Linked DNA regions of Macaca mulatta. The protein of the gene in region 2 binds, or shares a complex with, the protein of the main gene of each other region. Links are inferred from orthologs where the notes say so. Each region holds a gene or a part of one and is shown on either strand. Other genes may lie near its edges.

Region 1 (4,332 bases), on a different chromosome or scaffold from region 2:
TGGAGCTTGCAGTGAGCCGAGATCGTGCCACTGCACTCCAGCCTGGGCAACAGAGCGAGACTCTGTCTCAAAACAAAAACAAAAACAAAACAAACAAACAAAAAACCTAAAGAAACGGTCTGCAGGTCCCCTAATCCAAAAGGAGAAAAGCCCTGAAGTGTCTGCTGTTTTCACTCTAACCAGTATGGTGCCCAGAGATCCAAGTGGCAGATAGATGGCAAGCCTCAGGATAGCACAGAGCTGCAGGGAGAGTGAAGGCTGCCTGACAAGGGAGGGCCACCCGTCATACTCTCTCCCCCACATTAATTATTCCAGCCACTCCTGGCTCCAGCAGGACACTAAGAAGTATCCCCAAAGGGAGTCACCCCCAATATTGCCCAGTAAATAATTTAAAAGCAAAAATGTGGGAAACTCAGGAGAAGGTCAAACAAGTCCACTAGAGGGAGCCCCAACCAACTCTATGCTGCAGGGAGCCTCACAAAGCAATGTCTCAACACCTGTCTGAAAATCAACCACACAAGGGAATGGGGAAATGTAGCAATAGATTAAGTAACTAGGAGAGAAGATAGCCATGTAAACACCTAGCTAAAACACAGGCTTTTCAAGAGCTACAAAATCAAACATTTAAAGATCAGGAAACTGATGCTGAGCAAAGTCAAATGGCTTGCCTCAGTTTACATATCCACAGTTGGGACTCAAACTCAAATGTCTTGTCTCTAACCTGAGCACTTTCCTGCACACTTGCATCCCTCTAGGTCAGTACCCTAGAGTCCATGGGTCTGCTGTTCCTTTGTGTCTCATTTCTCTGAAGTGGGAAACGCCCTCGACTACCTATTCCTGTACTTATTACCCTCATTCCACAGTGTACTGAAGAGGATCTTCAGTGGTTTGGGGTTTTTGTTTGTTTGTTTGTTTGTTTGTTTGAGACAGGGTCTCCCTCTGTCATCCAGGCTGGAGTGCAGTGGTGCAATCATAGCTCACTGCTGCCTCAACCTCCCAGGCTCAAGTGGTTCTCCTGCTTCAGCCTCCCGAGTAGCTGAGACTAACAGGTGTGCACCACCCTGCCAGGCTAATTTTTTAATTTTTTGTAGAAATGAGGTCTCACTGTGTTGTCCAGGCTGGTCTTGAACTCCTGGCCTCAAGTAATCCTCCTGCCTCAGCTTCTGAAAATGTTGGGATTATAGGCATGAGCCACCGCCCCCAGCTTAGATCTTCAGTTTTAAACCTACTAATGTCATTTTGCTGATGGGACCTCGGGATGTCAATTGTCCAACATGGCTACTGTCAGTCCTTTTCCTCTGTATCAGCACAACATATTATCTCAGATGTGTACATCTGAATTTGGAAGTCTCCAAATTGCAGGCCATGTCTACGTGGCAATGAATCATAACCAATCGGCCTCCAAAGCCCTTTCTTTTCAAACTATACTTAGGGTTTTGGGATAAGGAAAGAACTGACCCTTTGAGACCTTGATATTTTAAGCTTTGTGAGCTGATTTAGCCCATTCCACCTTCCTACGAACTCCATGTTTCCCAGTTGCCTGGACAACATACAGCCTCCCGAAACCCAACCTTCCAGCCCTCAGTCCTGCCCTCAAGAGAAATTTGTCACCAAGGATTGGCTCCCAGGACCCAGGCCCCGCCTCAGGCTCCTCGCTAGTTGGGCCTTCTCTCTGCCACTCCCCACGGGTGGGTCACTCCACAGGGAGCCCCAACACTGGCAGGAGAGGATCCTACAGGTAGGAAGAGGGGGTTGAGGATGATGGGAAGAGGGAGGGGAGCAGGTACAGGGATTTATCTAAAAGAGAGTTGTGAGGAGTGACTTCCGTACAGTCAGCCTGGTTGAGAGAAAAAACTTCACCCTCCCCGTTGACCCCAACCCTGCCTGAGGTTCCAAAGAGACTGTGAACTGACTTTTCTGAAGAGTATGAGATACAAATTTGGAGTAGAACCAGGAGACTCCCCTGAGACTCCTGATTCAGTCAGGAAAGCATCCCTGTGTCCAGACCTAAACATAAGGTCCCCTCCTTCTCCCAGGACAGCAAGGAGATGCCACTTAAAAACAAAGAAAAAGGGAAGAAATCTGGGGCGCAGAAGAAAAAGAACTGGGGTGAGTCATGGTGGGTGGAGGTGCCCCCTGCTTCTCCATGTTCTGGCATGAAGACCACGCAGAGCTCCTCCAGAGAGAATTCAGCCTTCTACATGACAGGATGGAACTCTCTTGACCTTCCTCTTTCGTGTCCTTGAAGTCAGATGCAGGGAGCTGAGGAAGTGGGGAAATGGTCACTCACGCTCTCCTTTAAGCACCATCTAGCTTTGTGCCTTCCTAATATATTTGTCATGTGTATTTTGCATATCTGTTATGTGCTGGTTGGTAAGGACACAGTGCTGACTTCAGTAGACTCTGCCACCATGGATCCCTCATTTAGTGGTCCTCAGGTCTCCTGTGGCAAAAGTGCAGGGTGTGGGGTGAGGACGCAAGGAGAGTGAGGAATGCTGAGATCACGAAGAGCTGAGGCTCTGCCACTTGCCACAGCAGGTGCAGATGTGGAGGCTGAGTCCAGGCACAGGCTGGTGGTGCTGGAGAAGGAGCTGCTCCGAGATCACTTGGGTAAGGAGGGTAGAAGTTGGCATGGGGGTGGGCAACAGGGCAAGTGAAATGGGGCATTTCTGTATCCTGGGGGATTGGAGAGTTGGAGATACAGTGGGGGGCTAAGTTGAACCCTAACCATCCCCTAGTGGAAAAAGACAATGAGAGAGGGGTGGGCAGTGAGAGTTGATAAAGGAAGCTTTTTTTTTTTTTTTAGACAGAATCTTGCTCTATTGCCCAGGCTGGACTGCAGTGGTGTGATCATAGCTCACTGTAATCTCAAACTCCTGGACCCCAACAATCTTCCCACCTCAGCTTCACGAGTAGCTGGTGCACACCACCCTACCTAGCTACTTTATTTATTTATTTATTTTTCTTTTTTAAAATTTATTTTATTTTATTATTTCATTTTATTTTATTTTACTATCTTTTTTTTTTAAGACAGAGTCCTGTGCTCTGTTGCCCAGGCTGGAGTGCAGTGGCGTGATCTTGGCTCACTGCAACCTCTGCCTCCCAGGCTCAAGTGATTCCCCTGCCTCGGCCTCCCAAGTAGCTGGGATTACAGGCACACAGCCACCACGCCCGGCTAATTTTTGTATTCTTATTAGAGACAGGTTTTCACCATGTTGGCCAAGCTGGTCTCGAACTCTTGACCTCATGATCCTCCCACCTTGGCCTCCCAAAGTGCTGGGATTACAGGCATGAGCCACTGCGCCTGGCCCTATTTATTTTTCTTATAGAGACAAGGTCTCACTCTGTTGCCCAGGCAGGTCTCAAACTCCTGGCCTCAAGCAATTCTCCCACCTAAGCCTCCCAAAATATTGGGATTACAGGCATGAGCCACCATGCCGGGCTATCCGGAAAGCTATTTTGTATAGGCAGAACATGGAGAGAGTCTTTACTTCTTAATAATGAGGAGCCTGTGAGACTCTAGGGATAAAAAACAAAAACAACAAAACCCAGAGAGAGAATAAGAGGCTGGACGCCCCGCCACCAGATTTCTAGAGACGGGCAAAATTCATCAAGTTCATGGGGGCTGATTTAGCGGGCCCCAGCCAGTCCTGACAGTGGCTCTGGGACTGCTCACAGCTCTACGGAGGGATGAAGCCCGTCGAGCCAAGGCTTCCGAAGACCAGCTGAAGCAGAGGCTGCAAAGGGTGGAGGCTGAGCTGGAAGGGGCCCGAAGTGAAGGGAAGGCCATATATGCAGGTGTGTGGTCTGTTGAGCAGGTGGGCAGGAGACAGGGGCCTGGAGGAAGACAACCAGCAGGGTCAGATGATGCAAGGAAGGGAAACAAGGAGGGCTTCCAACTGCCAGGCCTGGTCTTGGTCTTCCCCGAACAGTACAAATCAGGCAGGATCCTGCAGGAATCAAAGGCAGGTAGGTTCCTGGGATCCCAGGCAGGGGCCTGCCAGGATGCCTGGTGCCATGTGCTTGATGCTGTGTAGGATACGCATGCAGTCATAGCCATCACCTCAACCATCCTATGGGAGGGGAGAAGGACTAGCATCCCCATCCAAAGCTGGACGGTGGGGGAGGTGGGTTGGGCTTCCTTTCCCTTCCTCAGGTTTTCATGGTCTCTAGCTTCTCAGAATCACAAAAAGAACCAAGAAGACCATGGGCCGGGAGTGGTGGCTCACACCTGTAATCCCAGCACTTTGGGAGGCCGAGGCGGGCGGATCACGAGGTCAGGAGATCGAGACCATCCTGGCTAACATGGTGAAACTCCGTCTCTACTAAAAA
Region 2 (3,562 bases):
TGAGTCATTTTAAAAATCCTCACTCAACTGGGAATGTTATTTTTATAACGTAAAAAATTAGTAAATCTTTTTTTTTTTTTTTTTTTAGAGACAGAGTCTCGCTCTGTCACCCAGGCGGGAGTGAGTGGTGTGATCTCGGCTCACTGCAAGCTCTGCCTCCCAGGTTCAAACGATTCTTCTGCCTCAGCCTCCCGAATAGCTGGGATTACAGGGCTGCATCACCACGCCCGGCTAATTTTTGTATTTTTAGTAGAGATGGGGTTTCATCATGTTGACCTGGCTGGTCTAGAACTCCTGACCTCAGGTGATCCGCCGGCCTCGGCCTCTCAAAGTGCTGAGATTACAGGCGTGAGCCACTGCACCTGGCCTTTATTTTTCTTTTTTATTTATTGGCCACTATACTAATGGGAAAACATTTTAATATAGTCATAATTAAAAATAATTAATTTTAAAATTATGTCTTTTTTTTTTTGAGGCGGGGTCTTGCTCTGTTGCCCAGCTGGAGTACAGTGGCACAATCTCAGCTCACTGCAGCCTCTGCCTCCCAGGTTCAAGCAATTCTCCCACCTCAGCTTCCTGAGTAGCTGGGATTACAGGTGCCTGTCACCACGCCTGGCTAATTGTTGTATTTTTAATAGAGAGGGGGTTTCACCATGTTGGCCAGGCGGGTCCCGAACTCCTGACCTCAGGTGATCCACCCGCTTCAGACTCCCAAAGTGCTGAGATTACAGGCGTGAGCCACTGTGCCCGGCCCATAAATTTTTAAGTCATAATTTGACTTACTAAATTTTGTCATAAATTAAGTCATAATTTAAAAATTATGAGTATACAGCAATATAGGAATCAAAAAATTTCTTATCTAAGCTCAATGATAAAAGCGGAAAACAAAATTTTACTTGTACTCTCTCAGATTGTAACTATATAAGATATCTATTCAGATGCACAACCCTGAAATAACATGTGAGCTCAAGCTCATTAGGCTGAAAGAATGATGGCTGGTTTTTCTTCAAAATATTTTTTTTGTTTCCTCAGTATGAGCAGAGTACAAAAAGACTCAAAGCACAGAAAAGTTTTGGTGACCCACCTGCTGCTGCTTTCTAAGGAACATTTCAATGTCCATATGAATCCGGGCCTCTTCTTCGGTTTTCATCCTGAGTTTCTGTAAGAACAATAATCAGACATCAGCACGTCTTCCCTGCAGGGCTGTGAATCAGAAGTTCTCAAGATTAGAGGAGCAGCTTGGTCGGCAGCTCAGGTTTCCTTTACCAGCTGGGATGCCGGGAATTCAGTTTCGTGCAATTCCTGTTCACAAACACCGCAGAGACACATGACGCGGCACTGTCTGGACTGTGTTAGTGTCCCTAACGAAAGGTGCGCAATCCCGTGAATTGAAAAGAGGTGCCCATTGAAGGAGAGAAACGGTGCGCCAAGGGCACAAGGCTGTGGGGCCTAAAAAAGGGAAATTCCAGAGTGCCAGGAAGACTGTTGTCGTGGCCTTAAGCCACGTTAGTCTCAGAGCAAGGAGTCCTCCCACACACAAATTCCATGGTCTAAGGACGTTTGTTCCTTCTTCCGTCTTCCCATCTGCCTGCTGCTCTTTGCGTGTGTGTGTGTGTGTGTGTGTGTGTGTGTGTGAGACAGAGAGAGAGAGAGAGAGAGAAGGGAGTCTCCCTATGTTGCCCAGGCTGGCTTCAAACTCAAGGATCCTCCTGCCTCCCTTCCAATTAGCTGGGACTAGTGCCTGGCTTTGTGTATGTGTGTGCAGTGTGTGTGTGTGTGTGTGTGTGTGTGTGTGTGTGTGTGTGTGCGCGCGCGTGCGCGCGCCATTTCGCATTCCCCTCAAAGAAGATCTACCACTTTCTTCCTCCTGATATTTTTCACCATGACTTCTCATCTCCATAAATTCAGGTTTGAATGAAGTTCACCTCTCAAGATGCTGTATTTCTTACTGGAGGAGTGAAAAGTACTGGCTAGATAAAACAAACAGCAGCAAAATCCTGCCATAACTAAGGATCTTGTTTTGCCCTCTCCCTATAATTAGAGAAATGGCGATTGGTTTGATAAAATAAGAAGTGACCGAGGAGAGAAAGTACAGCCAATTTTCAAAGTCATTATGAGGCAGGAGAAGGAGGCTACAGCCCGTTGGAATCTCCGCTTGCGAACATGTGTATCCTCATTTAGGCTTCCATTTTCAACCTCAAGTGGAGGGGCTGTTGCCGAGAGAGATGGAGGAAATCTTCATCTCCCTCCTTTGTTAGCTGAGACAGGATCAGGAGTGACAGCTCAAATGCCATCTCCTGGGTTCTTCACTAATGTCCCAGGGATTACCTCAATCTCTTCCAGCAAGACTTCCTCTGTTCTGTTACACTTTCTCTGGGTCTGGGCAATCTGCAGCTCAGTATTGGTTTTCATGTAGCGATTCTCCAAGTTGGATTTTGCTTTCATCTCTTGCAGTTGGTCCTTGAGGTTAGCAATATATTCATTCTGACTCTGCAATGGAAAGACCAGGTTTCTAAATTGAAAATACATTCTACCGCCATTCAGTTCAGCCAGTGGCTTAAGGTTCCCTTTTATAAGTGTAAATCAATAAGGAACGGGAACTAGTTTTCCGCTGTCACACAACGGGAAATTTAGCCAACAATCATGCAGAGAGGAAAGTGAGTAATACAGCAGTTCGAAGAATCAGGGCGAATCAGGGCGGAGATTAGTTCCCAGGCACATTACTGGTATGTCCATATTTCCCACACAGATTTCTCATTTTGGTAGGAAGAACACTGGTCAAAATGATGAAAAGAACTGACTTCCCACCCAGGCCTCCAGCTGTGTGAACTTGGCCTAGTCAAATCTCCAACTTTTTTACTTTCTATAAAACACACACACACACACACACACACAACACCCACCCTGACTGAAGTATCTCAGAGATTATTAGGTTTCATTGAGAACACGTGTGAAAACGCTTTCTTTTTGCAGGTCACCAAGTGCTTGGCAATTGCGAGGACTCAATAGTCATTAAGAAAAATATTTATTCAGCACCAGGCTGAATATTTATTCAGCACCAGGCTCTTCCTAGAGCTAGGCTCTAGGAAAATCATGGAGATCTAAACAGACATATTCCCTGCCCTCATAGAGCTTACAGTCTAATAGAAGAGAGGTGGTTAAAAAGAGACAAACACATGTGTAAACTTTCAAAAATTGTGCAAAATGATAGAAAAGGAAAGCTTGACAGGCTGTGGGAGGAAATAACAAGGGAGGAGTCCATTCGACTCTGGAAGGCCTGAGAGGGACTCTCTCGGGAAAGTGATGGTTCATTCGATGTACATTAGACTCTGGAAGGTCTGAGAGGGACTCTTGGGAAAGCGATAGTTCATTCGAGGTACATTAGACTCTGGAAGGCCTGAGAGGAACTCTCTCCAGAAAGTGATGGTTCATTCGATGTACATTAGAGTCTGGAAGGTCTGAGAGGAACTCTCGGGAAAACCATGGTTCATTCGAGGTACATTAGACTCTGGAAGGCCTGAGAGGAACTCTCTCCAGAAAGTGATGGTTCATTCGAGGTACA
Region 3 (3,994 bases), on a different chromosome or scaffold from region 2:
CCCATAACTTGTCATCAACTTGTCTTTGGGGGAATTTTAATGTGTTATATTTGGCTGATATTTTCTGCAAAGTGTTTGGCTTTTTTTTTTGGCCAGGCGCGGTGGCTCACACCTGTAATCCCAGCACTTTGGGAGGCTGAGGTGGGCGGATTACAAGGTCAGGAGATCAAGACCATCCTGGTCAACATGGTGAAACCCTGACTCCACTAAAAATACAAAAATTAGCTGGGTGTGGTGGCGCATGTCTGTAATCCCAGCTACTCGAGAGGCTGAGGCAGGAGAATCGCTTGAACCAGGGAGTTGGAGGTTGCAGTGAGCCGAGAGCGCACACCACTGCACTCCAGCCTGGCGACAGAGTGCGAGACTCCATCTCTCCATCTAAAAAAAAAAAAAAAAAAAAAAAAAAAAAATAGGTGCTATACTTTGGGAAATGACTCTTAATTTTGATTTGATTTCAAAACTTTAACTCACTTATCCCTCTTACTTCATCAGGGCCTTGGTACCTGTGACAGATCAAGTTTGCTTTCAGTCAAGCCCAGCAACTGCTATGCTAGGAAATGTGGGATTGTTATTACATATGCTATTTTATAAGCACATCAGGGCAGCATTTGGATCCTTACTGTGCATCTTTTAGTAACTCACTTCACCTATCTAAGCCTTGGCTTTCCCATCTGTAAAAGGTGGATAATTCCTCCCTCCTGCATTTGTGTGAGATCACGTATTTAGTCCAAACATGGGTAGTGAGGAACTGCTACATGTTGTGAATAAAACAGATGGATTTTTACCCCTGCTTCAGGCATGAATCAAACAATAATACAGCTATTTAATTACAAACCATGACAATTTGTAGGTGTAGGGAACTATGAAATCGTACATTAAGGGCACCTGGCCTGGCCAAGGAAGACAGGGCTGATTTGAAGGACAAGTAGGAAAGAAGGAGGAGATAACTTTGTGGCAAGGCCCTCGAGGTGGGAGAGAACAGACGTGTTGCCCTTTGGCTGAAGTGATGCAAGGTTGGAGAGGTCTATGGGAGTTCTGTTATTATCCTAGAACCCCTGGAAAGCACCTAGGGCTTAATAAGGGCAGCGACATTAGCTGGTCATGGTGGTGCATGCCTGTAGTCCCAGCTACCTGGGAGGCTGAGGCAAAAGAATCGCTTGAAACCGGGAGGTGGAGGTTGCAGTGAGCCGAGATCATGCCACTGCACTCCAGCCTGGGCAATAAGAGCGAAACTCCATCTCAAAAAATAAAAAAAATAAGGGCAGCAATGTGATCAGATCTTAGTTTTTAAGAACTCACTTTAGCAGCAGTACTGAGAATTGCAAAAGTACTGAGGTGAGAGATGACCAGGGTGTTAGCAAGATGTGAATGGGAGAAATTTCTAGAAACTTAACTTCCATGTAGGGCTAATAATCACCAATATCCAGATAAGAAAACAGAAACTAGTTAAAAAGGTTAATTAACATGCCCAACTTCATACACTTAGCATACGGCAGAGTCCATTTTCCTAATCATGACTCAACTGTATCCAGGGTACTGGGGACTATGGTTGCCACAGCTCACAATGTTTCTCACAGTTGTCATGGGTTCAGGGCCAAGGCCCAAACAGTCCTCCTCTATGGGGATCTTAGTAGTTTACCACCCAACCTGGGTCCCCTTTGACTTACCTGATGATAGTGTTGTTGAAGACCAGAGAGGTTGGAGCTGTGGAAAGCAGCAGAGTTTTACACAACTGTCAACGAAGTAGCCTCGTCGCAGAGAACAGATCCAGAATTTTCCTGGGAAACGATAACCTGGGGTCAACAGGATCTGAAAACTATAGTCCCTATTGGCCATGAATTGATAAGAAGAAAATTGGGAAAATTGGTTGGGTGAGATGGCTTACACCTGTAATCCCAGCTCTTTGGGAGGCCGAGGTGGGAAGATTGCTTGAGCTCAGGAGTTCAAGATCAGTCCGGGCAACATGGCAAGACCCCGTCTCCATTTTAAAAAATAAATAAATAAATACTGAACAAAAATTGTTTTTAAAAGAATAAAATCAATCACTTACTGAATGCTTACTGTTTGCTCAGTGCACAAACATTATTTAAGTACATGTAAGCTCCGGAGGCTATAAAAAAGGAAATCCTAATGCCCTTATTTTCCAGCTAGGGAATCTGAGGCTCCAGGGAGGGAAAGGAACTTGTCCAAAGTCATACAATGAATTACTGACAGAGACAGATGCAGAACCTGAGTATCCGTATTCACATCCAAAGCAGTTTATACAGTACCAAGATGAAATCATTTGACAGTTATGAGGTCAGATATGATGGCTAAATTCTGGGAAAAGTTATCAGTGGACAGGGTACCTCTCTTTTATGAAAGGAGGCTGGAAGACGGAACCCCTTAAAAGTCGATTCTAGCCCTGCTCCCTCGGGAAATGCTCCCTTAGTATTTCTTTTTTATTCAAAAGCTTGATAAGCCCAGGACTAAAGGGTCTTGGCTGTGTCAGCACGACTGTAAAGTGGCTGGGAGAGGACCTACGTGCTCATTTTATGAGAGGGGCCGGGACGGCGTTCTCCGAGAAAAGGGTCACAGGAAAGAGTTAAGTCGGGCGCTGTCTGTCCCTGCGAGTCCTCCCTGAGCCTCAGCTCCCAGGTCTCACCTTCTCAAGCGCTGGGAACTCCGCTGGTTCCACGCAGCTGACGCGTCTCCCGGTTGCTGGGGAACCAAGCGCCGCGACTTGGTTGCTAACGGGAAGTCAGGAGGGAGACATCCTGGGTGAAAGTTGACAGATCACGTGACCACATCTCCTGGTGGAGAAACACTCCTAACACCAACCAGCCGTAGAGAAAACAAATGTTTCTCCAATCAGCACTTTCTATGGGCGGGGATATTCCTAGATTCACCTCTGTTCCGTCCTGCTATTTGAGTGATTGACTCGTCTTTTGTCCAATAATAGTAAGAATCCTTTAGATTGACCAATATTCTGAGGAATCAAAATGCGCAACTTCCTCTTCGGGGGGCGGGCCAGGGGAGGTGCCACCACGGCTGACAGAGACTGCGGTGACCTACCTCGCTCCTCGGCCCAATCGGACGCTGCGGGGTGGGTGGGGGCTTTGCTGACGGAGGTGTAACGGCCAATCGGAGGCGGGCTTTGTAGGTGTCCCCCAATAGAGACGCGGTAAGGGGGCGGGGCCAAGGTCCCGGCGCTCGGCGTTCCAGAGGGTGGGGAGGGGGCAAGTGTCAGTCAGGACGGGAGTCCGGCGGGTTACCGCTGAGACCTCGGTGGCAGACAGGGGGCCCGGGCCGCTGCGTGTTGTCCACCCAAGATGGAGTTCCTCCTGGGGAACCCGTTCAGCACCCCGGTGGGGCAGTGCCTCGGTAAGGCCGCGTGTGGGGCGGGAGGCTGGGCGACCGCGGCAGCTGATCCGGGTGGTGAGGACCGCGGGCCTCCTCTGGGCGCCGGTGCCACTTCACGAGCGGGCTGGGCCTCCGCCAGGCGCGGGTGCCACCCCACGAGCGGGCTGGGCATCCTGGTCGTCGGGCCTTCACTGGGCGCCGGTGCCACCTCACGGGCGGGCTGGGCCTCTGCTGGGCGCCCGTGCCACCTCACAGACGGGCTGGGCATCCTGGTCGTCGGGCCTTCGCCGGGCGCCGGTGCAACCTCACGGGCGGACTGAGCCTCCGCCGGGTGCCGGTGCTATCCCACGGGCAGGCAGGGCATCTGTGTCCTGGGGCCTCCTCCCGGGCACTGGTGCCACCTGACAGGCGCCAGTGCCACTCTGCCAGGAGGCACCCCGAGGCCCAACTTGAACTCGGAGATGCCCCAGGCTTCCCTGCCCATCAGGACTCAGCCCTTCCTTTTGCTTCTAGAGGTGGTACCAACTGCTGGTCTGCTTCCCCAATGCCCTTTGGGAGATGCCACTGCATGTGTCTTTATCCAGCCCAGCAAGCTCGCTGCCACTGCCCCAAGGACCTAGTTCTCCCAGACCCTTTGTGGGATGTCACCTTC

The links. The genes of interacting proteins can lie anywhere in the genome.
Region 1: IQCG (region 2) and DRC12 share a complex: the UniProt entries of both Homo sapiens proteins name them as parts of the nexin-dynein regulatory complex. The link is inferred for Macaca mulatta from reciprocal best matches to the Homo sapiens genes DRC9 and DRC12.
Region 3: IQCG (region 2) and DRC3 share a complex: the UniProt entries of both Homo sapiens proteins name them as parts of the nexin-dynein regulatory complex. The link is inferred for Macaca mulatta from reciprocal best matches to the Homo sapiens genes DRC9 and DRC3.

Annotation. Positions count from the first base shown.
Region 1 is NC_133419.1:119,883,208-119,887,539, reverse strand, and holds the start of DRC12 (dynein regulatory complex protein 12), read left to right. Parts: upstream 1-1,480; 5' UTR 1,481-1,525; coding exon 1,526-1,738; intron 1,739-2,036; coding exon 2,037-2,109; intron 2,110-2,535; coding exon 2,536-2,610; intron 2,611-3,678; coding exon 3,679-3,798; intron 3,799-4,332. UniProt on the Homo sapiens protein: Component of the nexin-dynein regulatory complex (N-DRC), a key regulator of ciliary/flagellar motility which maintains the alignment and integrity of the distal axoneme and regulates microtubule sliding in motile axonemes.
Region 2 is NC_133407.1:1,021,839-1,025,400, reverse strand, and holds part of IQCG (dynein regulatory complex protein 9), read right to left. Parts: intron 2,491-3,562; coding exon 2,329-2,490; intron 1,160-2,328; coding exon 1,085-1,159; intron 1-1,084. UniProt on the Homo sapiens protein: Component of the nexin-dynein regulatory complex (N-DRC), a key regulator of ciliary/flagellar motility which maintains the alignment and integrity of the distal axoneme and regulates microtubule sliding in motile axonemes.
Region 3 is NC_133421.1:19,536,614-19,540,607, reverse strand, and holds the start of DRC3 (dynein regulatory complex subunit 3), read right to left. Parts: upstream 2,853-3,994; 5' UTR 2,645-2,852; intron 1,779-2,644; 5' UTR 1,668-1,778; intron 1-1,667. Other genes in the region: TOM1L2 (TOM1-like protein 2), read left to right, coding at 3,312-3,363. UniProt on the Homo sapiens protein: Component of the nexin-dynein regulatory complex (N-DRC) a key regulator of ciliary/flagellar motility which maintains the alignment and integrity of the distal axoneme and regulates microtubule sliding in motile axonemes.